Linked DNA regions of Schizosaccharomyces pombe. Changing the gene in region 1 together with any one later gene gives a genetic interaction. Each region holds a gene or a part of one and is shown on either strand. Other genes may lie near its edges.

What was found.
Region 2: of iml1 (region 1) and pub1, changing one suppresses a phenotype caused by changing the other (phenotypic suppression), as found in Schizosaccharomyces pombe (one study listed by BioGRID).
Region 3: of iml1 (region 1) and any1, changing one suppresses a phenotype caused by changing the other (phenotypic suppression), as found in Schizosaccharomyces pombe (one study listed by BioGRID).

Annotation. Positions count from the first base shown.
Region 1 is NC_003423.3:3,945,974-3,958,143, forward strand, and holds iml1 (GATOR1-SEACIT GTPase activating complex subunit Iml1), read right to left. Parts: upstream 7,837-12,170; 5' UTR 7,703-7,836; coding exon 3,212-7,702; 3' UTR 2,937-3,211; downstream 1-2,936. Other genes in the region: phosphatidylethanolamine N-methyltransferase Cho2, read left to right, coding at 88-2,805; pph3 (serine/threonine protein phosphatase), read right to left, coding at 8,742-9,263, 9,317-9,771, 9,887-9,956; CIA machinery monothiol glutaredoxin Grx4, read left to right, coding at 11,531-12,170.
Region 2 is NC_003424.3:3,959,557-3,970,065, reverse strand, and holds pub1 (HECT-type ubiquitin-protein ligase E3 Pub1), read right to left. Parts: upstream 7,001-10,509; 5' UTR 6,744-7,000; coding exon 6,727-6,743; intron 6,676-6,726; coding exon 6,653-6,675; intron 6,602-6,652; coding exon 6,457-6,601; intron 6,315-6,456; coding exon 4,196-6,314; 3' UTR 3,894-4,195; downstream 1-3,893. Other genes in the region: S-malonyltransferase Mct1, read left to right, coding at 1-233; ubi1 (ubiquitin-60S ribosomal protein L40 fusion protein), read right to left, coding at 671-1,057; isocitrate dehydrogenase (NAD+) subunit 1 Idh1, read right to left, coding at 2,161-3,231; protein Mtl2, read right to left, coding at 8,558-10,168. UniProt on the Schizosaccharomyces pombe protein: E3 ubiquitin-protein ligase which accepts ubiquitin from an E2 ubiquitin-conjugating enzyme in the form of a thioester and then directly transfers the ubiquitin to targeted substrates. Regulates ubiquitination of cdc25.
Region 3 is NC_003423.3:1,805,216-1,814,590, forward strand, and holds any1 (arrestin-related substrate adaptor Any1), read right to left. Parts: upstream 5,105-9,375; 5' UTR 4,273-5,104; coding exon 3,187-4,272; 3' UTR 3,043-3,186; downstream 1-3,042. Other genes in the region: phophatidylinositol 3-kinase complex subunit Vps38, read left to right, coding at 1,047-1,283, 1,514-1,684, 1,749-2,765; Tf2-9 (retrotransposable element/transposon Tf2-type), read right to left, coding at 7,533-9,375.

The DNA.
Region 1 (12,170 bases):
TTTACTTCTTTATAAATTTTTATAAAGTATTTATAGGTTATTGATACTAAAAAGTCAAGTTTTGATAAAATACCCATATATTCAAATATGACCAACCAAATTCCGTCTGCATCTTCAGCGGCAGATTTTGGAAGCTCAAAATCTACTTCTGTTGATGCAGTTCCAAATATGGATAAATCTTCGTCCGTTCGCCGAAAAAATATTGATAGCAATGGTTTGCAACAAACTAATCAAATCGAGCAAGCAGAAAGTAGTTTGAATGCCGAAGCTGATCACTCTGAACCTGAACGTTATGGTTGTACACCGTCAGGAAAAGTTTTCTTATTACCAAAAGAACAAGAAAATCGACGAAGTATATTAGAAACTGTAGATCCTCGGTTTTCTAAGACACCCTGGGATTGGATTGTCATTTCATCTATCCTTGCTCAAGTACTTCTGTTTTTTATGACAACCGGTGCAGTTCGTCGTTACTCTATGATGCTTTGTTTCTTTTTTTGGAGAATCAGTTATGATGCTGGTATAGGTTTTTTGCTACATATGCAATCGAATCATAGAAAAGTTGTCACTTGGATTTCTGACTTTGGTTTTTTTGATAAAGAAAATCACCCGAAGCTTTATGATTTAACAAAAAAGCAACTTATATCTAAGATGGACTCTAGTTATAACTATGATACTTCCCCTCTTGAGTTTAATTCCTGGTTGGTATTCCGTCACTTCGTCGATTTAATTCTCATGTGCGATTTCTGCTCATACATTTTGATGGGATTGGCATGGACTTGTTGGCCGAAGGTTAATATCATTCTTCAATTTTTGAGGATTTTTGGAGGTATCGCGCTTATTGTATTCAACTATTGGGTAAAAATGGATGCTCATAGAGTTGTTCGCGACTACGCTTGGTATTGGGGTGATTTTTTCTTTTTGCTTCGCTCTTCTTTGGTTTTCAACGGAGTTTTTGAGCTCGCTCCTCATCCCATGTATTCTGTAGGTTATGCTGGTTATTATGGTATGAGTCTTTTAACTGGTAGTTATGCAGTTCTTTTTGCTAGCATCCTCGCACATGCTGCTCAATTTGGTTTCTTACTGTTTGTTGAAAACCCCCATATTGAGAGAACATATGGTACAGACATCAATCATGCTAGATTGTCTCCACGGGGTGAAGACAATGAATTTGAATTACCTCCAGAACATGATTTAGTTGGGTTTGTCAACTTTGATTTCACTAGGATTTCCGATGTCGCTTTGCTTATCATAGCCTTGTATAGTATTTTCATAATTTTGTTATCGTCGAATTCTCATTATAGTCAGTTTTGGGCTATATTTCAAGCTTTTGTTTGGCGTTTCTTGCATTCCATAATTCATGCTTTTATTCTTTTTTACCAATCAAAAAGCAAAGCATGGACCAAACATTTTATCAGAAATGGTGAATCTGCTGCTTATGCATGGTCCCAATGGAAGGGGTTATATAATCTTACATTGAACATGTCTTATATTTCCTTTGTTATGGCTGCTTGGAAATTGTATCATTTACCTTCAAACTGGACGTATGGACTTGTGTCTCTAAGACATGCCTTAGGTTTTGGACTGATTGCTTTACATATTTATACATCTGTCTCAATATATGAAGACCTAGGGCAATATGGTTGGTTTTACGGTGACTTCTTTTTACCTAGCCGATCACCCAAGCTTGTTTATCAAGGAATTTATCGATATGTTAACAATCCTGAGCGATTCCTTGGTTGTTCGGCTTATTGGGGTCTTGCATTGATCAGCAGTTCTGCTTGGATATTTTTAATCGCAATTCTAGCACAACTTTCTAATCTAGCAATTATCCGTTTAGTCGAACAGCCACATATGCAGAAAGTTTATGGAAACACTCTTCGTAAAGAAGCCGGTATTTCTAAATTGATTAAACAGGCTACTTCTGAAAAAGGAAATATTCTTCCAAAAACAGTCGAGACGCATATGAAAGCTTTAACAACATCCGTTGATAAGGTTCTGGATCAAACTGCAGAAGCTCTTGAGGAGTTTGTAAATACTGCACCACCGAAAGTACAGGAATTATTGAAAGGAACTGAAAGCAATCTTCGTAAAAATGCACAACTCGCCATTCTCAAACTGTTTGCTCCTCAATTAAGTAGCTCTACTCATTTTGATTATAAGTTAGAAATTAAAGGAATTGACAACAACCAAGTACTATTGGGGCATCCCATTACGGTATGCTGGACAGCTTCTCCGAATCATGAAATTAACGATTGGATTGGACTTTATAAATTATCTGACAATGCGAGCGATCTTTATACTCAAACTTCGAGTGAAGGTCGGTGGTCTGCGATTGATGCCAATGGCTACACATCTCATTGTTCCAGTATAAAGTCACTTTCGAATGACAAAAATTCTGGAGAAGTTGAGTTTTCCGGAGATCTGTTATTTTGGGAAACCGGAACGTTTGAATTCCGTTATCATTATGGGGGAAAGCATTTAGTTATGGCAAAAACAGAACCTTTCGTGATCACTGCAACTTCAATGAATACTACCGACGTGGATGAAGTTTCAGCATATTTACTTAAATCCATTAAATTTTGTGACCCTAATATAACACCGCATGATGGTGATGCGTCCTTGTGCGATATTTCTGAAGGTTCTGCTAGAAAACTAACTTCTATCATCAAGTATAGCTTCGGCATAGATTTAAGTTATCGCGTTGTTCAAGTAGATGGCAGCTGTAGCGCTTTATCTCGAAGAATCGTCAATTCCTTAAAAATTTTACAATCTTTTGATGGTCCCAGCGGTGCAAAAGATGATTAAATATTCAACAATTTTATGATTTATTCATTCAACATGAATTTTTGCTCTTACATGACTAGTGAGCTTCAACCGCTTTAGACAAATAATGTTACTGAATATATATACTTTATTTTAATAAATGAAAAGTATAATTTAAATGATCTTTTAATTCAAAAAAAAAACCCCAAAGATAAATATGTATGGATATTTAGGTAACCTGAGATCATCAATTTTAATCATTGATTGAATCCAATTTTGAATAGCTATACCGAACAATTTGTATATTCCAAATGTAGTCTCAAAAAAAATAACCTTTAGTAAATTATTCATAAACGTTGACTATATTAAAGTATATAAAAACTGTAATAACAATCTAATAAGGTAAAAAAAGGTTATGGAAATCGTGTCAAAATGAAATTGATTATAATTATACGTTAACATTAGAGGCATCATCTGCTGAAGCATTTGAAGCATGAGTACTAGCTGAAGAATAAATACTACGACGATCATCACTTGCATGATTCACAATACCATAAAACTGATCCAGCTCATCTTTATTTGAGCAAAATTCCCTAAATTTACGCTCTAATTCTTCAGCAGTCTCTTTCAAATTAGGATTCAAAGTGCTTTTGTTGCTTTTGGTGAAACTCAATTTGCTAACCTTTGAGTTATGAAGGCGATTTGGAAGCCACAAAAATCGTTGATCATCATCAATTTGAACTAGCACAGTTCCTGTTCTGTGTATGTATTGTACGTAACGAAAGTTAGGTTTTCCCCAAGAATAAACTGCGGTAATTGATTTCGGAAACGTACTAGCTGCTTCGGTGTCTAAAATAAAATCAAAGTGCTCAAGAATTTTAACATTCCACCAATTCTTAGAATAGTTCACTGGATCATTTACCAGAGGCGCTCGTTCAGGAATAGGTGGAGGATCTAACGCTAGTGAAATGATCGAGACTTGGTCAAAGGGGTTAAGTTCTCCGACGGCTGCAATTTCATGAATTGGAGCTTCCACTAATTTCAAGCCATAACGCTCTAAAATCCGTGACCAAGATTGAAGGAGCTTCTCGATAACACTTGCTGTAGCCAATAACCATTCAATGCGAATATGATAACATGAGGCAGGATTATGAAGCAAATCGTAATGGACGGTCACTGTTTCGGATTTCCCATTTTTTTTCTCAACGTCTGCATTAAACAAAATGCGTCTCGACAACTCTAACCGAGAAGGACCAGCTTCTGATTCTGTTATTATTTTATTATCTAAATGTTTTTGACCTGAATCTTTTTTTCGACTGAACCAACTACGATATGGCCTGTTTGAAACAGGTTTGATACTGTAATCGGGTGAAATTCGATAAACATAGTAGCCATCTAACAAAGGGTGTTTTTTTAATGCATGATCAAAGAGTCCTAGGCTTAACAACTTATTTCCATATTTAAGAGCTTCTTCTCTAGTATTGATACCAATGAAGGTATTAGCTAACCAGGAAACAAATTCACTCCCAAGAAAACAATTCTCATAAATTCTGTAATGCCATGTAATATCGTCAATTTTAGGACCACCAGGCCCTTGAATTTCTTTAGCGATGGTATGAAGGTCAGCAGAGCAATCTAATCGTTTATTAGGCATAAACAATGATTGTTCATTCCTAGAAGAATCCAATCGCAACGCTTCTAATTCAGAGTGAATATACTGAGCCATTGGTAAAGTTGTAAATTTGATTCCTAGAAGTTCAGCAGGCGAAGTATTCGGTGTTTTATTATTGCTGTCATTCATGGGGTCAATTTTTCCTTTATACAAAAGTTCACTTAGCTTGTAAATACCTTCAACTCTAAATTCTTCATCGCTTAGAGCATCCGCATGATCCAGCAATTGATACTTTTGAAAAACATGTGTTGATGTAGTAGACATTGGTAACAACACAAAACGGGCTCGCCAATATTTAACAGAGTCGGGTAAATAAGTCTCAAATCCACATATTAATTGATCGACGTAATTCCAATTATAATTTGCGGAATCATTGGCAGAAAATGTGATATTAGACTTGACATATTTACATTCATTTTTAGACCAAAAATTATAATCGTATCTCATTTTACCTTGACCAGAAACCTTTTTGACATAACGCTTTACTTCAATATTGTATCCTACTGAATCACATGAAAGCCTGTGGAACTGACTATCGCCTAGAGAAAGGCAAACTGCATCACTGCCTACTGTTAAATGCCCATTTCTTTGATTATTTACAGAGCGAGAGAAATCGGTAATCGTTCCTGCCTTATTGGCCTTGGGATTACCGCTATAAGAGACCGCGGCAGCTGGATTAACCACAATTTGATATCCACGTGATAATCTTTGACAAATCATCTCAGCAAGTAATTCCTGTTGATTCATTTGAGTAAATTCAGGATCGATTCCAATTGTGTATGTGTATTCCTCAAATTTATCATTCAATTCCTCTTCAGAAGGGAAGTAACTAAAAGTTAACGGAAGCGCACCAGGAGTACACATGGAAAGCCAATTAAACTTCCTAACATCCTGCACTTTCATATAGAGATGTTCCCATCTTAAAGAAACGGGATCATTATCAGCAGTTGTCTCTTTCAGTTTAAAAGGATTTTGAATAATCTTCCATGGTGTTTGATATTCATTCTCTAAATTGGTAGAACTTTTCGGAATTACAGTCTTAGCATATTCAGGACTGTTGGGCTTTAAAAACGTTGGGGGCTTTTTTGTCGCTATTGGAGGAGCTTGACTAAAAGCCTTGCAACTATCACTATCTTCATTATTTTTGATCGGAATAGGTCTTTGAATTGTAGATTTGAAACCAAGTGGGTTTGCCGAAGTAGTAACCGTAGCGGGGAGAGCCAAGAAACCTTTTAATAAAGCCGGAAAGGAAGACTTTTTGGTAAGAAGTGAAGACTTATTAGATGAAGACGTTTGTAAGGAAGACGATACATTGCTAGAGTTACCAGCTAATTTCTGTAGCCTTTCGGTGAGGGCAGATTTACCAAACTGTCTTGCCGACTCTTTGCTGGTGCTTTTAAGATCATCAACTTTAGCTCCAAAACTAGATATCGATTCTTTCCCTGAAATTACTGTAGAAAGACTATGCCCATTCATCTCAAGGTAAGAACTTTTGTCCACATTAACGGGTGTATGAGATGAGAAATGGCGAGGAGATGATGAGCTCAAAACATCGTTTGCACTAACAGCAGCCTCACCAGTAAATTGCCGTTCATCGTAATCTTCTTGCACTTCTTCACTGAACACAGACCCTTTCAACAATGGATCAGACTGTAATAATGGAATCGAAATTTTGGCACTTTCGGCTTCCAGTACACCCATCATTTGTAATTCATGCATTTTTGCAGTAGGCTCAAATTGATGTTCTCGCATTAAATTTTCCCAAGGAGAACGTAAGGACCTCATTTCCGTAGTACTGTAAAAACTAATGTTACAGCCAATTGGAAATGTATATAACCATTCGGTATCCTCCTTTAAATTATTCAAAAAGGAAGACACTGAGAAGTTTGAAACTGATGACGTTAAGGAATTTGGTATTACATTAGAAGGGGAAACGGAAGAAGAAATTCTGCTGGTTAGTTGGGATCTTTTTTTGTTTTTCACCGGATTTTTGTATCGAACAATAGGCGTTAGAAATAAAGGAACTTTTCCTAAGGATACGATATCCATACCAACAACGGTATTGAGTAAGCTTTTAGAAGTCAAGTGTAGCATTTTTTCATTTACTTCATATAAACCAGTTCCTGGGGTAACTATTATGATACTAGTACCAGTACGTGATAAATCTCTGTCGATATAATCTGACTGAAATTGAAAGACAGCCATATTAATGACTTCCAAAAAGTTGCCTTCTTGGGATCCTGTCATCCTTCCGCATATATACTCAATTTCTCTCCCATTTTCATCCTTAATTTTCCTAACAATGACATCTTGTCGAAATTTTGCAAGTTCTAGTTTCAAATTTGCTAAAACAGGTTGCCAATCTCTGCTAGAAACATTATCCACCACCACCTTGAAAAAATCTTCGTAAGGACCACCTTCGTTATCAATAGAAGCATTGAAAGAATTTTGTGGATAAATACTACTTCCTTTTTCACTATTTTTTTGAGACCTTGGTTGCCAAACACACATAGGCCCATGGTGGCTGTACTCGACACGAGTAAACAAAATTATAGAAACCAAATGATGAGTTCCTAAGTCTCTCCAAAAAGAAAAAAGATCAGGAAGAAAACCATCTATTGCTTTGTTATAATTGAGCTCTCCATCTTCTTCAAAGTGCCACATCTCTTCACTCATTTGAATAAAAATTAGAAATCTGGCACTTTCAGACCGAAAAATTGGCTTAGTGCGTTCTGAAATGTACGCTGAATGACATTTTTTTCCTTTTCTCCATATACATCTAATTTCTCCAGGCACATCTCCTATAAAGGAAACACGCTGTTTTAGATAAACGCATTTACCGCATAATTCTCTAAAAAGCTTCCACATATCGCTTCTAGATATAAATTGGTCCCGAAAAAAAATTACCACATGTTCGGCTTCTAAATTAGTTTTGTCTTCACAAATTTTGACAACCACCGGTTCACGATTTTTTATATTGAGCAAAGAGCTTATGTGAGATACAACTGAAAGTTGCAGATTCGGATGTCGCCTCTTTAAATCATCTGTTAAAGGGGAGGGCATCAAATATACTGGTTCTTTTTCACGTTTAGCATGTAGTTTCCCTGTGCTTGAGTGATTATGCTGTAAAGCGATTTCATCACCATTTTGGGCCCTTATTTCAAAAATATCACCAGGTTTAGCAGAAGGTACTAAATCATAATTTAAGACTGCATCGTTTGGAAACAATGATGATTCGTGCGTCCACAGGTTCAAGGTAATAGCCATTTCATGAATTGAACAACCTACGCCATTAAGGCAGTAATCAAAAAATTAAATACAAGAATTGTATCAAAAAAAGAAGTAAATAATCTCTTTACACAACTTTATACGTTTGATTTTGATTAGGCGGATGTTGGGGTAGAGCTGCAAAAATCCAGTATAACACCAAGATAAATTGCACTAGTAAACACAGGTTACTCTTATCATAAAATCAAATAGTAAATGTTGCATTTATAAAGGTAGAGCATAATTGTGTATATTATATGACTCATGACTAAATATTTAATTTAAGGCAGAATGTATACTACTTGCACGAATACTTGATTGTCTAAGACACAATCATTAATATACCAGCAAGCACTTCGTTATCTTTTTTTTTTTTTTTTTTGTGATACTGTATTACTTAGAATTTATTTGAAAAAAATGTTTCTATCATATCGAATGTTTAAGATGTAGGTGTTCTTACGTTTATACCTCGTATATCATTGACTTTATTCTATTGACTTCAATATATGATATTAGATTACAATTCAGTGATTGAAACAGAGGCTGAATTCCAATTGTTTATTTCATTTTTTGGCTAACGGATTTGTTGAATTGGGGTGCAGTCTAAACTACAAAGACTCAAACCAGCTGACTCAATAATGTAATATTAAATTTTCAGCATTAAGCTTAAAAAATGATATTCATCACCCCAGTTTCTGAATTCAGGTTTGAAGTTCGATCAAATGAGGATTAATGTTTGAAAACCGAGCATTTTGCAATCTACTTTAAATTACCTTCAGAAAGCGACTAAACAATCTTGTGCGTTGAAAGTTAGCTTAAAAAAGTTACAATTAAAATTTAACTTAATTACTTTTTAAATTTATGATGTCCTAAACAAATCAATATTGCTAAAATAACCAAATTCCATAAACAAGAATTAAATAAGTGCAGAATTAAAAATGAGAGACCAATAAGAAGAGTTAAGGGGATAATCTTTAGTACAAGTTGACCTATATACATGATATTGGGGAAGTGAAGTAGAGCAATGAATTTTGAATAATCATAAAAAGTAGTCGGCAATGGGTCGTTTTGTTGGAATGCCAGATCTTTCTTGAGAGGCAGTACCAAAAATCTTAAAGGATTGCGTTTGGTTTTCATCAAGTTGTAATATAGAAGCAACATTTCCACATCTGTAACAGTAATTGGGTGCACTCCAAACAGTAACCACGCTTCCTTTATCCTTTTCTGGAATGGTTATTATGTCTCCAGGTGCCGGAGAATCATCAACAGGTGAGGCAGAATCTGAATCCAGCTCAGAGTCCTCTTCATTTGTAAATTTGGGATACTGTTTATCTTTATCGGAAAAATGGATTTTGTAACCCTCCATAACCAATTGATGAGCACGAGCAATGAATGAAAGGTCATTAGCGCGATTAAAAACTTCAGAAACGTCGGCACCAAACAAAAATCCAGCACCTCTGGGAGATAAACCCCATCCACTAATATCTTCTGGATCTGACCAAAGTAGATCACACATTGCTCCTTCATGCGGAACTTCTTGTTTTCGATCCAACAGTCGAATCTTCATAAAAAGCGTTAAAAGTTTAGTTCAAATTTTCGGAATTAATAACATACCTGATCGATACTGCTGATGCTTGGTGAAAGTCCACCGTGCACACAAAAAACCTTTCCATCCACCAAAGCACCAAGCGAAAGATAATCAAATATTTCACAACAATATCGCCATACATTGGCAGAACCATATTTCCTTACACATTCGTCATAAAATCCATAAACTTGTGTTATTTGTCGTGATTCATGATTTCCCCGGATAAGGGTCATCTCTTTCGGATATTTACATTTTAAAGTCAATAACAGGAGAAATGTTTCTACAGAGTAAAACCCTCTATCAACAAAATCCCCTAGAAATAAATATTTTGTACCTGGACATGACCCACCAATTCGAAAAAGCTCCAGTAAATCATGCAATTGGCCATGGATATCACCACAAATGGTTACAGGAGATGAGATCCATTGTATGTTAGATTCCTCAATTAAAATATCTCTTACACGCTGACAAAGTTCAACAACTACCACAAAACGTTAGACCCCATTCTTATAATTATGGCAAAGAACAACCAATATGAATGATCGTTGTTATATCGACGGAGATAAAAGTTATTCTATAAATACTATTATACATACCATTTGATTCTGGAATTAACCTTCCGTTCTCCAGTTCCTCAAGTTGCCAATCCAAATCTAAATCAGTCATTTTGAACTCGTCAAAACATAAAGTAAAGAAAACTAGAATAACTTGGTCCTTTAGAATAAGAAAATAAACAAGTGAAATTCTTTTTCAACTTTATGTATCATTTAAGAAATTTAATTTTAAATAAGTCAAAATACCTCTGTCAAGAGGTATGACGCGTAGAGCTTTGGTGACTAAAATTCGGTTTTCCTTTTGATAATGACTTTTAAAATAATTAACATGACCTCCTTAATTAGCAGCTTCCGAATTTTATTGACACATACGTTGCGTTACGCTAGATTGTTTTTCAGAAAAATACGGTTGCTCCACCATTATTAGTGCTTTCATCTCGAAATGAAATGGACACAAGTTTTTGTATTAGATTGTTTTTTTTTAATCATTTATACTTAAAATTAATGATGAACTAGAATCTTTTAATTAAGTTGCATGCTACTCCAGTATGATTATTATAGCATGCCGTATTATCATTGATCTTGAGTTTTTATAACGCTAATACAAGAACGTGCACCTACTCATATATATATCTAGATTATAAGAAAAACTCCTATAGTTCTAACGGATCTAAATTGTTCGCACAAATGCGCAGCTTTGATGTTATAGGGTTTTTGTGAAATAAACTACATAACACTATAGCTTCTTGGTAAAAATCAGATAACACTCACAATTATAGGTAAAATAATCTGTATGCTGAAGGCGTACCCCTGTGGCGGAATATACACTCAATATAGAAAAACTGTATAGTCAATTCGTGTTGCAAACCCATAATTTATGTGAAGCTTTAACATAATTTGCATACTATTCTTTACTTATGTTCAGTCGGCAACTCAAGATGTTCAAATAACTAAAAAGATTTTAGAAATATATTCTTTCTATCTTTCAATATGGTTTACTGCAATTTGCGTACTATCAAAAGAATGAGGTGTGTAAGAAATGCTTGCCCTGAGCAGTACAATGCAATTTTTTAATACTTTAACTATATCAATCAATGTGTATGCTGTTGTTTTTATCAAGTATGAAACATATCTCATCTTGGTTGTTTTGGTCGCTTGTTATAAACTCATTTGGCTAGTAAAGCGACTGTTAATTTTATGTACAACATACAAAAATAAAATGTTAACAGAATTGTTTGGGTATTACGTAGAATCGGAGTATAAGCGCAACACACTAGTTTTTTTTGCCGAAAAAATTATTTTCCAGACGTTTTAATACCGAGGGATAAAGTTATCTGATCAGTCACGATGGTAATTAAAAAAATGAGATCGAGAATGCCGTTTAATGAATAGACAATGAAAAAAGTGAAGAAGAATCATCAAAACGTACATCAAAAGTGGTTTAACTAAAAAATTTCGAGTAATTTACTTGGATATGTTTTTTGCTGCAATTATATCATTTGCGTCGCCTATTGTGCAAGGAAGAGATTTTACTAGATACGTTTTCTACACTGCTCAGCCGAACCTGCCGACAACCAACTAGGAAAAAATAGGGCGTTGATTGTTGATTAAAAAGAATAAACTAGGTTTTTGAAAAAAAAAGTAGGAAAAGAAATAATTCCTCAAGCTGTGCTATTTTGATTGGAAATGAGCGTCGAAATTACTTTTGTTGAACAATTTCAAGAGATATTGCAAAATGGAAAAGAGCAAATAATTTTACTCAATTTTTATGCACCATGGGCTGCTCCATGCAAGCAAATGAACCAAGTCTTTGATCAATTTGCAAAGGACACGAAAAATGCCGTTTTCTTAAAAATTGAAGCTGAAAAATTTTCCGATATAGCAGAGTCGTTTGATGTAAACGCTGTTCCTCTATTTGTTTTAATCCACGGAGCAAAAGTTTTGGCTAGAATTTCGGGGGCAAATCCTCAAAAATTGAAGGCTGCTATTGACGAGTATATTCAACCCCTTATCTCCCAAATATCCTCTACCAACGCGTCCGTGGAAACTCAAGTAAATTCCGTTCAGACTACCAACACTACTTCCAATACCTCTAAAGCTCCAAATGGGTTGGATTCTGAACTAAATGAAAGGTTGAGCACGCTAACAAATGCTCACAATGTTATGCTCTTTTTAAAGGGTACTCCTTCAGAACCTGCATGTGGTTTTAGTCGTAAGCTCGTTGGATTACTTCGTGAGCAAAACGTTCAGTATGGATTTTTTAACATATTGGCTGATGATTCTGTACGCCAAGGTCTTAAAGTGTTTTCCGATTGGCCAACTTTCC
Region 2 (10,509 bases), on another chromosome or scaffold:
GTAAGCGCTTTTTACCCATCATATCTAATGTCACAGCTGAGCTTTATCCAGCTGATGAAGAGGATATAAGGAGACAATTATTGCTACAGTGTTTTCGTCCTGTTTTATTTAAAAATTGCCTCAAAACAGTCAAAAGCAAATATGGAGCCAACTTATTTTATGCATATGGTCCTGGGACTACGATGCAATCAATAGCAAAGCAGAATGGAATTTCCACCAAGTCTCGTCCATGAGGACTTTTCGAAGCGAGTAGTTAAAAATTAGCCTTTCTACTGTAATTCCATTAATTTTTTTCCTTTTACCTAGTCAGTCATGATGTTGCTCATTTGTATACATGATCTTTTGGCATTCTGACAAGAGTTAGAATAATTACAGGAATGCATATCGTCTAACATAACATTTTAAAGCTATGCACAATCAAATGCATCACCATCAATTTAAATGATACTGTAATCGTTAACAACAAATACTATCCACACTACAATAGCTCCACATTCTTACAAAGGATACAGTTTTAAGACAAGTATTTTTTATTGCTCGAATTTTGCTACACTACAGTGAATTTCACATGTTTACATCCGTGTAATCCAAAATATTCTTAATATTTCTTTATCTGTAAAGTTACCAAGACAGAAATAACAAGAACACGAAATACCCCAAAAGAAATAATCTATTTGAGCTTCTTCTTGGGACGAAGTTGGTTGGTGTGACCACACTTCTTCTTGCGGCAGTTGGTAGCACGGGGAGGAAGACGGGCATAGCACTTACGGCAGATTTGCTTTTCGCAGTTGTATTTGGAAGCCAAAGCCTTTAGAGAGGGCTCAATGATACCACCACGAAGACGGAGAACTAAATGAAGGGTAGACTCCTTTTGAATGTTGTAGTCAGAAAGAGTACGGCCATCCTCTAATTGCTTTCCAGCGAAGATAAGACGTTGTTGGTCAGGAGGAATTCCTTCCTTGTCTTGGATTTTGCTCTTGACATTGTCAATAGTGTCAGAGGACTCCACCTCAAGGGTGATAGTCTTTCCGGTCAAAGTCTTGACGAAAATCTGCATGATTGTGGTGGACAAAGGATTCCTTCTTCACTGAAAGCACCGTAAGAGCCCTTACCGAAAAAAGCAGTCACGTTTAGTGCGTCCTCTAGCGGTGGACATTAATTTCTTAGCACAAATTCAGTAAAATATTATAACGCATAGTAAAATACTATGGTATATTTTGTAGTCTGGTAGAAGATATGGCTATTGTTGAGAAATTTTTGACGATAAATGGTCTCCTAATTTTTGGATATATTGATAGGCATTAGGAGGAGCCGGCATCCTTCGATTAGCCTATATAGAAATGTTGCGCATATTGTTAGTTGAACCTAAGAACGACGATAGTTGCAAAGGTCGCTTACACAACTGGAATATAAATGACTTCGAAGGTTGGAGATAAGTTAAGTAATGTGTTTGAACTAACCTTTTACTACTTTAAAAGACACATCTTTCACATTTAAGGGCTGTGCATTGCTGTTATCGACATAGATAGATGAATGTGTAAATCTACATGAATAGACTGTGAACCACTATGTTAATCTAAATCCTGTTAAAGATTATTAAATTATTCTTTAAGAGTATTCATAACTAAATTTTAAAAATAAAACTTGGGTTTTAGGAAACTAATTACCATCCTCTATCTTTCTGGAAAATCGACGTATCTAGCAATTGTGATTATTAGAGGAGGCACAATGGAAATTATCAAACCTTTTTCGTTCCAAAATTGACTAATCAGGCATTTATGCTATAAAAAGTAGAATTCCATAATTTACATCAAATACAAAGTAATAAGGACGAACAAACCAGACACTACAAAGTATGGAAAATCCACACAAAAATGAAATTAAAATATCAATCATATTCGGAACGTACGTAAGAAAAATTCATCATCTTCTTGTCAGGCAGGAGTTCCTTGCCGACGGAAGAGGTGTTATCATAACTGATAGAAGACGTAAATATCAAAAAAAGCTTCCGAAACGTTTCAACTTACTTAGAGAAAAGGAGTAGTAACATGAGCGTCAAAATTGTAGTTGACACGGCTAAAAGCCTAAGACTTCAATAGCTTTCATTACACTCATTAACAGGAGGGTATATCATTTAAAAGGAAGGGGGGAATAATTAAATTATAAGCTTTCCATTCTTTCTAAAATGGCATGCGTGAAATCACCAGTGGAAGCCGAACCACCCAAGTCTTTGGTCAGGGTTTTACCCTCTTCAATGACAGAATAAGTAGCGGCATTGATAAGATCAGCATAATCTTTTAGGCCTAAATGACGAAGCATCAAGCAAGCGCTAAGGATGGCAGCTGTAGGATTGGCTTCCCCACGTCCAGTAATACTTAAACCAACATGACGGCAACCAGGCTCGAATAGAGCATAGTCACGACCAAAATTGGCACCTGGAATGACACCGGGGCCACCGACCAAAGCACTTCCAATGTTGCTAAGAATGCTACCGTACAAGTTCGGCATCACTAAAACATCGAATTGCTGGGGACGAGAAACAGCCTGCATGGAGGCATTGTCGACAATTAAATCCTTAGGAGTAATAGCGTCGTAACCGTTAGCAACGTCGTAAAACGTCCTTCGAAAGAGACCGTCGGCCAATTTCATGATGTTAGCCTTGTGGATGCAAGTGACCGATTTGCGGCCATTTTGTAAGGCAAAATCAAAAGCAAATTGTGCAATTCTCTTTGATTTGTATTCTGTAATGATTTTCAAAGATTCCACGACTCCCGGTACCGACTGGTGCTCGAGACCCGAGTATTCACCTTCAGTGTTTTCACGAATAATTGCAAAATCAACATTGTCATGACGAGTCTTAAATCCAGGAATGTTTTTGATGAGCACTAGAGAGGCATAGATATCGAGTTCTTTTCTCAAGGCAACATTGAACGAGGTATGGCCTCCTTTTTCAAATGGAGTGAACAGAATTCCCTTTAAACCCACTTTATTTCTCTTGAGAGATTGAATTGCCTCATGTAGCGCGTCTCCAGACGATTTATTGTTTTTTTCCATTCCTGTAACATCAATTTCTTCAAATTCGATAGGAACGTTTGCCGTTTTAAAGATCTCTGTCACTGCATTGCTCGTTTCTCGTCCAATTCCATCGCCTGGAATCAACGTTACCGTGTATTTACCTCCATACTTTAATGGTTGAAAAGCTGAGGATTTTCTTACTAGTGATTTGAACATTATGTATCTTGTTTACTTCTTTTCTGTAACATGCAAACAGGATTGTTTTACAAGGCTATTGTGGTTGGTAAAGGAAAGCCGATGAGACCCCCAAACAAATACCTACACATCCATCGATTACCCCACTGCCCAATTCTCCTTAAAGGTAGCAATTTACGAACCTTATTCTGTTACCTTATCCAATGACATTTTAACCTCTTTAAAAGAATACTTTTTGTAGTTGTATCACGATATTTCACCTTCTACTCTAATATCAAGGTTTATACTGTTTTTTAACTCGCTATAAGAATTTATACTATTTACTATAGGTTCACACATCCAAAAAATAAATATTTGCACGAGATTTCATAGTTATCGAATTCGATATTACTGAATTTTGACCAATGTATAAGCATTCAACTTATTACTAACAAATGATAAATGTTTACGATAATAAACACAACTTCACTGTCATAGCTCTGCGGTCTGATTACACATGTATTGAAGCGGCTATTGTTTTCTTAATAAGCCCTTTTCATTCAATAAAGCCTATAGTTGTGGGTAAACTTTTCATGTCATCTATTTACTACGGTGACCAGGTAACTACCACATAAGCAACGACCTGGACAGGATACAAAAACCTTACCAACTAACTACCTATTTACTCACAGTTTCAAATAAAATGTTGAAAAAGGGCGGTAATTTCATAAATATAAAATCACTTATGCAGTACGTAACTTAATAATAGTAAATTAACTTATATGTTTTGTGCGAAGAGCATTAAGAGGAAATGTGTTTGCAAACAAGTATAAAAAGAAGAAGGAAAATGGTAGTAGAGAACACAAAGGTAGAACATGATGATCCAAGTATTTTCACTCAAATGAGAAAAAAAAAATAATTTCGGAAACTTTACACAGAAATTCTTTTTCACTGTTAAACACCAATAGTTCAAATATCAAAAGTAATCAATAGCTAGCTATCCATTTTACTCCTGACCAAAACCAATCGTCTCTTCAACAGCTATGGACAATTTATGATCCAAATCTTTTTTCGAAGTATAAGGAGGAAGATCAAGTCGATTGAAACAGGTGTGGGCCTTGGGAAGTTTATTGGGTTCACCAGCTTTTTCAATAGTAAACTTACGGGGGCCATCACTTCCTTGCAAATCTTTGAACCCGTTGACAGGAATTCGGCTAGTACCAGTGGTAAATTGTAAAAGTCTGGATTTCTTTTCATTACTCCATTCATCCATAAGTTCCCAAAACCATTTAATAATCTGGTCATTTTCACTGTATGAACGATAATCCGTATGCTTCTTCCAATCCTCCATGTCAATTTCGGAAATGCCTCCAATCAACAACTCCAATTCTCTCTCGTCAAACACGTTAATCAGTTCCTGTGGTATGAGCTCACTAAAACCTTCATGAAATGCATTAAACTGCTCTTCTATACGTTTTTGAATGCGCCATACAGTCACCAAATCAACATATTCGCGTTTATTCTCTTCTGTAACTTCAATGTTTCGACCATTCGGCTTCAAATCAATCGTAACAACCTCGCCAAAACAATTGTCTTCGACACTAAAGGTCAAATCAAGAACACCGGTTATATCGTTGTCCAAAATCCAGACTAAACTTCGATAATACTCTGCATCCATACTTTCCATATCCTGTAACGTCACCTTCTTTTGTAAAATCATTTTGTAAAAAGAAACAACGAAAAAGGCATCAACAAACCGACGATGGAAAATTGCGAGACCAATGACTCGGCCTATGAACTTGAAATAGTTCAAATGCTCTGGATTAATGCCAGAATGAGGATTAATTTGAAGCGTATAATTATCAACCGAAGAGTATTCAAATAAACAATAAAAGGGGTTGAACATTTCATGTGATAACAAAAAGAAGTATTCACGGGATAATCCACCGTAATCCAAACCATCTTCACCATCAAACTTAATCATCAAACGTTTTTTCAAATCGGTTGCAGATTGTCTCATAATTTCCGCATACGAATCTTCAAAGATATGATTTCTACGCACTTTAATGTGGCACTGCCCTGGCAAAGGATGCAAAGCTGGTTGCGAAAGGAAATAAATCAACTTTCTACGGAAATCACGTTTGTATTGAGGAACGTTTTGATCTAACGACGAAGGTAAACGAGGATCATCCCAAGTGGTAGTCTTGGTATTGTGATCAACAAAATATACACGAGCAGTATTGGTAAGACGCATTTCCCAACCACTTGGCAAAGGACCAAGTTGAGAGACAGGTTGTTGCTGAATAGTAGCATTATTAGGACCGCCATAGGAACGAATGTACTGTTGACGGCGCGGATCCACCCAAGTAGTAGTTCGCGTATTATGATCCACAAAGTAGGGTCGACCCTCTGGTGTATACCTTTGCTCCCATCCCGGTGGAAGCTCTCCTGAACCAGCAGTAGTAGCGTTAGAGGTCAAAACACTAGCTTCTGTACGACGAGCTGCATTGCTAGAGGAAGGTTGAACACCTTCGGTAACATTCGCAGACGATGCACTACTATGCAATTCGGCTGCGGCTGCTCCGGCAACAGAACTTAGGTTGGGGCGAATCCACGTTGTGCTTCTTGTATTATGATCTACATAATAAGTTCGGCCAAGATTATCGGTACGTCTTTCCCATCCAGGAGGAAGGCGCCCATATTGATCTTCAAATGAACTAAATGTGCGAGGTTCTGAACTAGCAGGGGAAGCAGCAGGTGCGTTGTCGCGGGTAGGTGAACCAGCACGAGAGGAAGCAGGGTTACGAGACACACTGCTACTTTGTGAGCTTTGCGGGTCATTGGTAATGCTAGTACGTTGGGTACGTGCACCTGATGCTGCACTGGATGGAACCTGTAAGGTTGACTGCGCAGTCGTTGATAAGTTTATGATTATCTTGCCATGAACTACTGTATTCTCATTTGACTTTTTCAAATCGCGGGTCAACATTTCATCACCTCCAATGGCGAGATCGAGCACATCTCCAACACGAAGATTTATCACTCCTAGAAAGCCTTGGCCTTTTTTCTTAAATTTTTTCTGATCGAACACCTGAATCGCAATGGTGCTATTATCTGTAACATTACTAAAGAATTGTTAGAAACATTGTTTTTAATCAAAAAGTTAACATTAGCTAAATTATAAGGGATAAACTGGAAGAAACCCCAACTAAAATTGATATACATAAAAGTTACTTGGAAAGGTCAAAACCTGGGATATACACTTACACTTCAAAAGTCTCATTCCAATAAGGGTTTAACGTCTTTTTGATAGCAGTTGTGGTATGTGTTTGCTCACCATCCACTGTTAGTACCGCAAACGGGTCAGGAAAACGAAACACATCTCGTTTGTAAAGGCCATCAGCAGCAACAACTATTTTGGGTCAGCGTTTGCACAGGGCATTTGAATAATGTCATCACATACTTGTTACTCGAATTCGACGAGATCTAATCATAAAAGTTAGCAAATGTGTTTATAGCAGTTAAAGAACTACTTACTGAGCTGAGTTTGACATAGGGGGAAAAGATGGTAAAATTTCAAACCAGCGTTGCTTTTGGATAATAAAAAAAAGCCAATTTCCCAAAGAAAGTCAAGTATTTGTGCTTGCAAAAAAAACTTTCAATTAAGGCCGTTTTATCCTTTCTATTTGATACAAAAACGCTTTTTTCGGGAACGAAATAAATAAAAAAGAACTACAAAAGGAATCCTTAATCAAATTCGTGCTTTCAGCGCACAATTTTGAAATCCGTCGGATTTCGCGTGGTGTTGGCTGAAAGGAGAATTAATCGGTCTTGCAGATTAGATCCTTAACGCATTATAACCCATTTCCTTATATATATACAACGCGATTACCAAATTGTTCTTTATCTTTTTTGGCGTACAGAAAATACGTTTTACGTGTTAACTACGAAAGTAAATATCATGCAGCACAATGTATGATTTGCAAGCTATAAGCATTTAATAAATTGATTTAATACGAAAGAATGAGGAAAATGTATATCTAACCACTTTGCGTTCAAGTGATAGTTAGAACTGAGAAGAAAGAGAGGAAACGAAGAATTGTAAAAGGTACATACAAGAAGGCAAACGGAGTGCCGCGAATAAAAGTAATAAAGCCAGAACTTAGCAACAACTCTTAAACAGACAATGCTCAAAATTTTTATTTTTTAATTATCAGTAGTCGAGCATGCTGGCCAAAACAAAGTTAAGTAAACATCCAGCCACACGAGAGAAAGTAGAGCTAGATGGTCCTCAACATGACGAAAGAGTAAGAGCGATAAGTGCAGCGAAGGGAACGTGACGCTCCATTACATATACGAGACGGTGAAAAAGGAACGGAAGGAAAAGAAAAGGAAAAAGTACAGTATGTACATTTATTTCAAAGAAATGAGATAACGAGATTGGTTAGGCGACTGAAAGTAAAATTGAAATGGCTGGTCATAAAGACTATTTGCTATCCACTTTCAATAACAAGAAACCATGGGATGGAAAACAGGTAGCTGTTAAAAGTTTCATTTCGTTTTACACTATTCAGGAAAATTGGCTTTCCGTCGCATTTGACAAGAATTCGCCATTCTGTAAAGAAATGTACAAATGAAAAAACAAAGCGAAACGGCGAATGAAACAGAAATGATTGATAAGTAATGAAATGCAAATGAGAAAAGGATAAGAATAAACAAACCAAAGAGACTTTTTTAAGGGTTGTATCTCACTACAGTGAAACAATTGAAAGAAAAATTCAAAAGTCAGTCAAAAGATGAAGTCGATTTAAAAGCAATAAGTTAAGGAACCAGATGACATATTTAAGACTTTGAATGAAATGCAAGCAACGAAATTTTCTTAAAAAAAGAGGGCCATGAGAAAAAGCAAATAGTTAAGTTTAAAAAGAAAGTTTGAAAGAAGGATAAATAGTTTGCTAAATAACTCCTTTTTTAAAGAAAGTAAACCGACGGACCAATTGATTGTATGAGATGGTATAAGCGAAACCCATAATAATAACAAAGCTTTGCAATGAGAATGTGAATTTCTAATACCATAAAACTGTTCAAGCAAAAAGGAAATGAGTGAGTAACGGTAAAACAAAGAGATAGCAATAAGATTGAAAAGATCGATTACTTAAGATTTTCGTAAAAAACAAAGGTAAAAGCCGAATAAAGAAAAAGTTGTTATACGAAAAAGTGATGAGCAAGCTTTTCTTCGCAAGACTTTCTACCATCAATTGAAGGCAAGCGTAACTAACGCATTTATTTTAAGCGACGGATATATCCAGAAATTGTAAACAAATAATTTTTGCTTAAATCTATCGCAACAAGTGTTTAAGCGCATACTTTAAAACAGGTTCAACCTGCGAGCTTCCGATGACGACCGAGGAATAGAAACGTTGCTACTTGATGGGTTGTCAGCAAAAGGTGAATAATTGGGCTGGTTAGAAGCACCAGTGCTTGTTGGGGAAAGAAGATTGCTTTGAGATCGACTAGACAGAGCTGCCCTCGAGCCGTAAGAGGATTCTCCAGCTAAATCACTAGCCATGCTTTCACTGTCACTTTCAGGAATCGTAGCTAAAGGACCTTCTGGATAGGAATCTGAACCAGAACCACTGTGTTCTGCAGCTTCGGCCGCAGCTCCAGCGGCACCAACAGCAGGGCCTGACTCAAACGGAGATGCAGACAAACCTTCAGAAAAGTTGCTTCCATTAGATGGAGGCATTGTAGCTTCAGCTTCGTTAGAAGCAGAAAGATCAGGTGGATTTCCAATCGGTCTAACCATACGGGCTCCTTGAGGACGAGTAAAGCTTCCACCAGTATTAGCTGCATCAGAAGCATCAGCACCGACACCAGCAGCGGTAGCAGCTGCAATTGGACCAGCTGAATTACTACTGCCACCCAAAAGGCCGGGCTGAGAAGCTGCAGGCGGATTGGCTCCGCCAGCGCCGGCAGAAGGTCTAGGAGCAACAGGCCGTCCGTTAGTATTGTTTCCAGCAGCAGGTGTTGGGCTTCCATTCCAGCCACGATACCTGTTATTAGTAGAGGGAGCACGATTTGGGCTACGGAAATTGGAGGGTTGATTGGGGTTAAATCCGTATTCCTCGACTTCTTGCATGCGCTCAGCCTTAATTCGTTTGGACCGTTGATGCCTTTTCCAAAGAAAAATTCCTAAACCAATCAAAATTAGAACTACACCAACAGGAATAGCAACAGAACAACCAACAACTACGCCGACATGATTGCTTGACTTGTTAGATTTACTGGGCAAAGTGCCACTGGAAGAATAAGAAGAGCTAATAGGCGTAGACGAAGTGCTGGAAGTGAAAGAACTGGAGGAATTCCAATTATTAGTAGTAGTGGGGGTCACCACTTCAGAAACGTAAGAAGTTGAGACCAATGTGATTATTGAGGGTCCATCTCGATACGTACTACTGACAATGCTGGCTGAAGAACTCAAGCCGCTCGTAGTCATGGAAGAGCTGTGGTAGGAAGAACTAGATGATGGGACACTAGACGAATGGCTTAAGGAACTACTGGACATCCCACTGGAGGAACTACTAGCGACAAGAGAACTACTGCTGCTGCTAAGCGCGTGACTCGAACTACTGGAGGTCGGGGAAGCACTGCTACTGGAAGTCAGTGTAGCACTGCTACTAGAGGTCAATGAAGCACTGCTACTAGAGCTTTGTTGGCTGCTTGATGAGACCAAAGATGTGATAAAAGAAGAAGAAGCAGGAGAAGTAAAAGATGAGGATGAAAGAGGTGAAGACGATGATGAAGAACTAATTGCAGTAGCACTAGACGATGAAAGCATAGAGCTCGAACTAGAAGGAATCACGCTTGAGCTACTCAAACTCGTACTAGCAGCAGCAGAAGAGCTGCTTGCCGGAATACTGCTAGAAGCAGATGAGCTGAGGGAAGTGTCCACACTTGAAGTATTGTTCGTGAATGACATTTTCTCTTGCGTGCGAATTCCCTTACAGAAAGAAGGTTTTTTGAAGTTTTTAAAAGAACGTTGGATTTTTTTTCTAGAAAAATAATAAGATCTCGTCCAATTTCAATGTATCTTGATGAATTCCCTTAAAAGCACGGTGAAGAGTAAGCGGTAAAGAGAAAATGTCGCGGTCCTGCTTGGCTTTGCCTATAGGTAAGGGTGATGCACTTTTCAATGTGGGGATTCTTTCCGAGTTAGTTTCGAGGCTTTTTTTCACCTTACCAATATGTTACCTATCAATGCTCTAGCAAAGAACCTTAAAGTTACGAACCAGGTGAAATTTTACTAAGGCAAATTATTCA
Region 3 (9,375 bases), 2.1 Mb from region 1:
AAACAAAGTATCAAATTTTTTTTTGTGCTTCTTCAGCGGACAAATGAATAGTAAAAACTGAAAGCGTGCTTTTTTGTTGGTAATAATGTTTGATTTACTCTTTTTTTTTTTTTTTTTTTTTTTTTTTTTTTGGCTCAGACCTTCTTGCTCATAATGATCTGGGCCATAGTACATCAATTTTCGAAGACAGTAATAAAGCAATTAAAAAAAAAAATTTTCGCCATTGATTCAAACTCACATCAGTTATCAATTAAAAAATTTCTTTACAGTTAATTTCTGCTATATTATTTTATTGAACCTTTTTAAATTCATTCAACCATTACGGAAGACACTAAATTTCCTTAAAGAATGAGTTCTGAGCTAAAGGATCAGTGGCCAGCTTTAAGAATAAGATATATTACGGCAAAGTTTCAGAATTATCTAAATATAATTTAATATAAATACATTTAACGATTATATTATGTATAGTATTATAATCCAATTAATTAATGGTAGCATATAATGACACGCAAAAGGGCTTAGTGAAGTCTTGCTGCTGACAATAAAGTGCATATAATGTTAGCTTCGCAGTTTGGTATCTGATTTAAGGATACATAGAACTGCGGTGAGTTTTCCTTGTGATCTATTATATTACAATACACAGGTTGTATGAGTAGCAACTGAGTATAGGTATTGTATTAACTAGGTTATAATGTTACCTATCACTAATATATCTTATAACTGAACTGAGGGACGAGGTTCAGTTGTTCTCAATTTATAATATTTGAAGTAGTAAGAATTATATCTGATAGTTATCTTATCATGAATGATATTATATCTCCATCTTGATGACTTATCATGTAATAGTTGATAGAGCAAATAGAACATTGTGAACATGTGACATATAGTGATATGCAACGTGGAGTATCATTGCGTAGTGTAGTATTGCTGACAATAACGAACTAAACCAGTATATTGTTATCCTACGCTAGCACCAGACTCAGCTGAGTTTACCAAGTAGGGCGATGCGATGAAGCAAAAGCATTCATTGCTTTAACCATGATAGAATGTCGCTTGAATTACCAGGAAACTACCGACTTTCCAGGCTTAAATCAATACAAATAAGAAATGTTCAAGAAATTCAAAATCATAGCAAATTTGCGATCAATACGACGGAAAATTTGTGGAAACGAGATGTGCAGTTAAAACGTGCAATTTCCGAAGGAACTATTCGTATTTTTATATCATTGCATGTGCAGAGTAAGAAATTGCCTGTTTATATTACTGAAACGAGCGGAAATGCTGTATGTGAACATGCTTTGATAAACAAAAGTATCTGAATGGTATCATTATATCTAGGTTATTTGCTTGATTGAAAAGGTTAATCAGTTTGTTTATACAAGTGATTTGCCAAAATTTCGTTGCTCAAATCCTTGAAACAAAGCCCTCAATTGATAGTTTATACCTTGTATCTCTTTTACCCATATACAAATTTTGTATGTATTTATGTTCTTTGTGTCTAACCTCTCATTAGAATCACATCTTTTACGTCGATGAAAAAGTAACCGAAAAGCTTCAAAAATACCGTCACGAAGAGTACTTTATCGTGAGGACTTGGTGCTCATCAAGTAGTCATGCCTTCAAGCTACATAAAGAATGGAAAATTTTGAGATATGACAGTAATTTTCGTTATATTGGTAATGATGTACGGTTGAATATTTTTGGTTTACCTTATGTTTCCCTTGTGTTGACTAACATATTATTTGTAGCCTGTTTTTGCAGTTTGTCATATTCGAAACGGTCTTTTATGTGAATTTAATGATGGCGTTTACATCTACACAACATCCCAGTCTTCGGATATTATGAGACAGACCTCCTTTCCAAAAAGTGCCTCCACATATTCTATAGACAGGCGGAAGGATGGTTACACTATTCAGAAAATCACTCGAATTTTGAAACTGGCTGAATGCATAGATGAAATGCACATTGCTAAACATGAAATTCGAGCTCATTTTCAGGAGGAGGAGTTTCAGCAGATACGTTTGATGCACAAAAGGATGTTACTTCGGGATGAAAAAATCGATGAACTGGCTAAATTAGAACATCTTTGGCAAAAACAAATTAATAGCATCACTCAGATGAGGACGAAATTTGACAAGACGAAAAGCTGGTTATCCTCAAAAAGGAACACTTTGAACAAATCCAAAGAATCCCTTCAAAAAGATGAAGCTGAGTATGTGGAACTTGCCAATTCTTTAAAAACAAAAGTAGAGACCAATATAGAGATTCGAATCCTTATGGCACATGCTATTCGTATGCACGTTTCCCATCTTTCCAAAATTTACCCAATCCAACCATCGCCTGGCAATCATGACGAGTTTACAATTCGCAATCTCCGCCTATCTTTTGAGCCAGATAAAATTAATAATGTGGAAATGGCTGCTTCCATAGGATTTTTGGCGCATTTACTTCAAACTCTTTCAAAGTATCTCGAAAAAGAACTCGCTTATCCAATTCTTTGCGCATCTTCGAGATCCTCCATCCTGGATACATTGACACCCGACATCCCCACGCGTATCTTTCCCCTTTATCCAGCAACTCGACCAATTGAGCTTTTTGAACATGCCATTTATCTTCTCAACCAGGATGTAAATGATTTTTTAGAAACTTTTGGATTACCTATTGACCAATCCATGGACATACTCAGGAACTTTAAAAAACTGCTCCAATTTATTTTATCAGGACAACATCTATCTTTTGTACAAGTAACGTCTACCGCTCCTTAACAATTCCATAAGCTTAGGCACCATAAGCCTAAATTATCGTTAATTGCAAAACTACGCATAACTTGTCTATCGTTTAATTGTATCTTTTCACCCTAGTTTACTCTCAACAATCAATTTCGTTTTCGTATTCTTTGTTGGAAATTCATATACCCATTTCACGGTTTAATTTTAATCATCTTAATGAAGAGTTTTTATGGACATTTGCCGAAGGCATATTACTCATTGTCATTGCGACAACTACTATACAATGCATTTACGTTTAAAATATAAAAATAAACAGATAATGATGAATGTAGATATTATAAATAGTTCCCTTAAATTAATAAAACTTGTGAATTAAAAAATAAAAAGAGCCATGTTCATTTTTTGATAGTTATGTGATGGTGATCGAGCTCTTCCGGTTACATCCGACCCACATATTCTAGGTATAGGCAGGCGGAGCGGGTCCTACACTTTCAAAAACTGGCGGGCATTCTTCATCCCAACTAATACCTAAACCAGCTGGCGTGGTAAGTGGCTGAACGACTGATACTCGTAAGATACGGGCATTGCCCATATTGTTTCCCGCAACGTTCTTTTTTCTATTAACAATGGTCTCAAAAATTAAATGATGAGAGACTTTTAAGGAAAAAGGGGCAGGAATTTCCACGTCACAGCTTGGCTCTCTTAAAGAAGATGTGTTAATTTGAGTAGATAGAAACATCTGATTATCAATGAACTTCCATCCCGATTGTAAATCTTGTGTACTCAAAATTCTTTTTTCTTCAATAGGTCGAGGTTTTACCAAATCACGATGGCGTTCACATGGTTGACAACTAAACTGCATATGCTCCTCCAATCTCCAAGTAACTCTATTGATCTTCCAATCGTTGCCGTCATTTTGGGCAAAACCAGTCATGGTAACTTCCATAAGCGCAGCTCCATGAGGATGCAAGGTACTGGGCAAAGTAATGTTTGCAACAAGATTCGTAGGGGGAAAGATACGTTTATGGATGGTATCAGGCGAAGGAATGGCAGCTCGCTTTAGTTGGAGAGGAAACTTAAGAACTTCGGGCTTCGAGGGAGAAATTCCGCCTTCAGGAGTACCATAGCATAACGTAGCTTCTAAATAATACTCAAGCTTGATGTATCTGTTAGAAACCGAAGCAGGAAGCGAACCAGGGAAAAGCCAACTAAAAGGCCAATGCTGAGTACCAGGTCTATATGTGGTATTTGCAGCTAAATCCCAAGTCTGTAAAACCTCTTTTGAACCCGCACAAGCAGAACAATGAGAGATTGCAGGATGAAGAACGGTGATCCTTTTTATGAGTTGCAGCTTGAGGGTATGTACTTTAATAAAAGGTTGATGTAAAATCGTCAGTTTTAAAATGCCAGACGCAAGTGCACCACTAGACGTTTCCGGCGAGCCAAGGAATACCAGCGGCGGTGATTCCATACGTATATCTAACGTACAGCGAGCAGGGTCTTTTGGCGTGGTTGAACGAGGTAGTGCAAGTTTTAATGGCATAGTAATAAGAAAATCTAAGCGTTTGTCGGTAAAACAAAGGAATGGAAAAAAAAATAGAAATGGAAAATTTTTTAAAAAAAATTACCAGTATGAAATGATAAACCAGGAATAAAATAATGTGTGTAAAAATGCCAAGTACACCTAAAAAAACCAAACCCTACAGTGGAAGAACACTGCTAAATTGAACTTAAAAAATGTGAAAAGGAAAAACCCACCAGGAAATTAAAGAGAAGAAAGAATTAACGAAGTATGGAAATAAGAAAAAAAGTCGTTAAACCAAACAACCAACGACTTTTTTCTTTCGCCTATTATCCAAATTTTTTTGAAGATGATTTATACCTATTCTTCTTCCGTAGAAAGTAATAGTAATCCAATTGATGAGAAAGAAGTAAACCGACTTGAATTTAACACAGGGATGTAAGGTAACAAAAAAGCTGAACAAAGGAACTTTATGAGTTTGCTTTATGTCTCCCTTAGTGATGATGTTTTTGTTTTAATAATTCAAAATCTCATGTGAATTATCAACCCAAAAATGTGTAAGAACAAGCTAATTAAAAAAAAATAGCAGACTGTCAATTAAAGTAGAGCACACACCTTCTTAAGAGGAGCTGAAAAAATGAAAAGAAACCCAAGGCTAGAGAAAATGAGAGGTTCGATGGGCAGTTTATATTCGCAAGATTCGCAATAGATCAGCAGTCCACGCAAACCAAGTCGATTGAACACCAAAATCTAGAGAAAAAGCAAGACAAAACTGACGAGCGATTTCACTAGAAATCGATCTCTTAAAGCCCTTTTGATTTCAAGAATCACTAGAAAATACTTGGTTCACGGTGAATGTTAAAAACATGAAGAGATGGGATGATTGCTCAAAATTTATTTTAATGAGGCGCATAGAAGTTACGGTATCAAGATTTTGCGTCATAAAAAATAATCTCGTGTAATTGTTTTCGCATGTTATTTCCGTTAATGTTATTCTGGAATAACGGTGATTAGGTTTACGCTAAACGAATTAATGCAGAGAACCGTGTTTCCATAAGTGACGAATTTTTTGATGAAAGAGGGCCGCGATGAGACGATTACATCAATTAATAACGGAATAAAGTGAAACGAGCTTGTGCAGAAAATTGAAATATGTATGTAAGGAAAATATCTGTTAAAAAGCAAGAGAACGAAATTTTTTATAAAAGCTGTGTATACAGTGCGAGAAAGTTAACCGCTAAAGATTTTGGTGTATGATAATATACCGATAGAAATACAATGATTTCCTGTGTAATATAATATTTCCTTGAGAAGTTTACAAAAATGGATAGAAGGAATTCTCAATCATATTCATGGTGCTAAATCTGATCTGATCTCACTGTCATTGTTTTGTTTCCTCCCATAAGCTCAGTATGTCCCCACGCCACAAGTAATACGTAGCAAGTGAGAGGTGTCTACTGTTGCAAGAAATACTCTATTGTAACCTACCAGCGCAAAAGCTTCGAGGCTACAAATTGCTTATTAGTTTTATTAGAAATCATCACAGTTGGCCTTACTCGTACCAGTCTATTCATAAGGTCAGGAGCATCCCGTCGATCTGTATCCGCCTGATCTGCAAAATACGCAGGAAGCCGATGAATAATGCCCTTGTGACCGTTCGTATATAAGAAAATAAATATTATTAAAAAGAGGTTCAATCAGTATTTTTAATTCAAAAGAGAAAGGATAAAAGTTGAAAAGCAAAGACATCCATAGAAGGAAAGGAAAAATTTTTTTGTTAAATTAAAGTCCATTTTTGTAATTTGGTGTACAATAATAGTTTTATAATTCTTCCGTGAATGCTCTCCGCGGAATAAGGCACAATCCTAAGGCAGCAACGTAGTAAGGAGATTTGGAATTGTAACTTATTGCAATTAGCAAGACGGTATATTTCGGATCGAGGAAGACAAGGGAGGCTCGAGAGCAGCAAATGGTGAAAACAAGCAATGTGTTTACCGACAAACAGTGCAAATATCAACAAATGAGGCAAATGGGTTGATCGAAGAGGCGGTTTCTGGGAAGGTCTGGCTCGCTGACAGAGTGAATGTAAGTAATCAAAAATACTCTTAATAAGCCCATTGCAATTTGGCGATTCTTATGCTACAAGGCCTCTTTGTTTGCACTGGCACACAATCTCTAATTTTGTTTCTGTTTTTGACATGCAACATTGCTACGTACGCAGCGTATATTACTCATTCACAAATAATGTTACTTTTTTTGTTGTTGATATTATTCTTTCATCATTAATATCACTCTCTTATTACTGACACTTGCTCCTTATGAATTTGTATTCCAATCGGTGTCCATCTTCGTACGGTTTTTTGGTTTCCGTCTCATTTGATCGCCATGATGGATCATTATGATTCATCATCGCTCTCGTTATGGCCAACATAACATAACTGCGCAGTATTATAAATTATTCCCGTAAGTTTCCCGCTTTAGAAAACAAAGAATCATGGTAACAAAGAACGTATGGAACACTGAAACCTTCATCTTATAAATGTCGTCGAATTTTCTCATCATCTTTAATTTCCACTTAAACAGCTACATCAGATTTTTTTACCTACCCTTTTTTGCCCTACCTTACCTTACTTACTGACTCTGGATAGGTATCATCGAATTCTATCATAGACCGAGCAAAAACAAACAAAACGGGCAAAAGAAAAAGAAGAAAAAGAAGGACATTGTAAAGATCAAACTTTACAATATTATTAAACTTATACAGTACAGAACAGTGTACATGCTCAAACACTCTTAGTCCATTCATTTACCTATGTATTTGTATGCAACGGTATTATTAAAAAAATCTGTAAAGATTAGTGAATTTCATTCTGCTTCATTAATGTAAGCTACGCAGTTTGGTATCTGATTTAAGGATACGTAGAACTGCGGTGAGTTTTCCTTGTGATCTATTATATTACAATACACAGGTTGTATAAGTAGCAACTGAGTATAGGTATTGTATTAACTGGGTTATAATGTTACCTATCACTAATATAGCTCATAACTGAACTGAGGAACGAGGTTCAGCAGTAGCTCTATTTATAGTATTCAGATAATATTGATCTTAATAGATTATCATTAAGATCAATCTCCATATCGTATCATACATGGTACGATATATAATTAGAACATGTGACATATAGTGATACTCAACGTAGTGTATTATAGCGTAGTGTAGTATTGCTGACATTGCCCTCCCCAAGATTTTCTATGTAAATCTGAGGATAAGTCATATGTTCTCAGATATTTAGATTATTGTTTTTAATATAATCATTGACAATTGCTTTGTCCGCTTGTAGCGCTGTAGCTAATGTAGTCCATCCTGACATAATAGTACTCGGATTTAGATTCGAAATGTACTTGACATTTAAGTAGAGTACTTGTTCTCTGTTTTTATGTTCTAGGATATGAAGAATTGTTCCAATATCAGACTCATCAATGGTAGCGTAATTGAGTTCTGAATTATGTCGATACTTTTCTAGGTGAGAAACATGAAAAGTAGATGAAAACATGTGCTTGATTGAATCTGGAAGATCCAATTCATAGTTGTTTGGACCCGACTTCTGTAACACATAGAACGGTCCTGCAAAACTAGGTGCTAATTTATTGGATTTATGAAGAAAACCTGTTTTCGTTCTTTTGACCATAACTAGGTCTCCAGGTTGAAATTCTTCAATTTCTTGTATTTTCATATCGAAATACTTTTTCATCTTTATGTTGTTTGTATTCAAGTGTTCTTTAACTGTTTGAAATACTTGGATCGTTTCCTGAGAGTTTTCGTCAGTTTTGTCACTAAAGCTAGGTAACTCTAAAGGTGATAAAGCTGGTGAATAGCGATGTACTATCTCAAAAGGTGTCATTTGAGTTGCTGAATGTATCGCATTGTTGTAAGATTGTTGCACTAGGGATATATGATCTACCCATGTATTTGGATGTGTGCTACATACACATCTTAGTAATTTCTCCACAGTTTGGTTTGTACGCTCAGTTTGTCCATCAGTTTGTGGTCTGTATGGTAACGAAAATTTCATAACGAAATTATATTTATGTGCGAAATCTTTCCACGTTTGGGAAGTAAAAATATGATCATTATCTGCAATGATTTCTTTTGGATTGCCGAAATAAGCAATAACTCGTTGATCAAACATTCGAGCTGTTTGCTCTGCTGTAATGGATTTCGTACAAGGTACTAAGATTGCCATTTTTGAAAATCGGTCAACTACCACGAAAAGTGCATTATAACCAGATGATTCTGGTAAAGCTGTAATAAAATCCATTGATAAAGATTCCCAAGGTCTTTCTGATGGGGGAATTGGTTGTAAAGGTCCATAAGGTTTATGATTCCTAGATTTGTTTATTTGACATGTATGGCAGTTCTGTACATATTCTTGTATTTGTTTTCTTATTCCTTTCCACGTAAATCTACGTAATATAATGTTTGTAAGAAGTTCAATGCCTGGATGAATCAATTTACCTTCTTCATGATACTTTTTAATAATTGTCCTAGTCAGCTGAGTATCATTAGGTAATAAGATTTGGTCTTTACTGTTAATTAGTAAGCCATCTTTGAGTTGGATATTCTCTTCCACTCGTTTGTCTTCATTGTTTAGTAAATTCAACAATTTTGTATCATTCGTATATTCTGTAACCACTTGGTTTTTAAAATCATCGGTTATCGAGATTTGATTAACAAAGTTGATACTATTGTCTTCTGAATCTTTTGGAATTGGTTCTGTTTCGTCAACAATTCTGGATAAGGCATCAGCTATGTGATTTGCTGATCCAGGTCTGTAGTTAATTTCAAAGTTGAAGTCTTGTAAAAATAATTGCCAACGAGCTAAACGTTTGTTTTCAGGCTCGGATTCGTTAGTAATGCGACCAATTAAGTTTCGATGGTCTGTTAAAATTTTGAAAGGTTCGATAGTGGATTCTAAATAGTGTCTCCAATGTTTGAGAGACTTAATGATTGCAAGCATTTCTTTGTCCGATACGCTATAATTTAATTGTGCTTTAGACATCTTTGCTGAATAGTATCCAACAGGATAGTATTTATCATCATCATGTTTTTGAGACAATACGGCT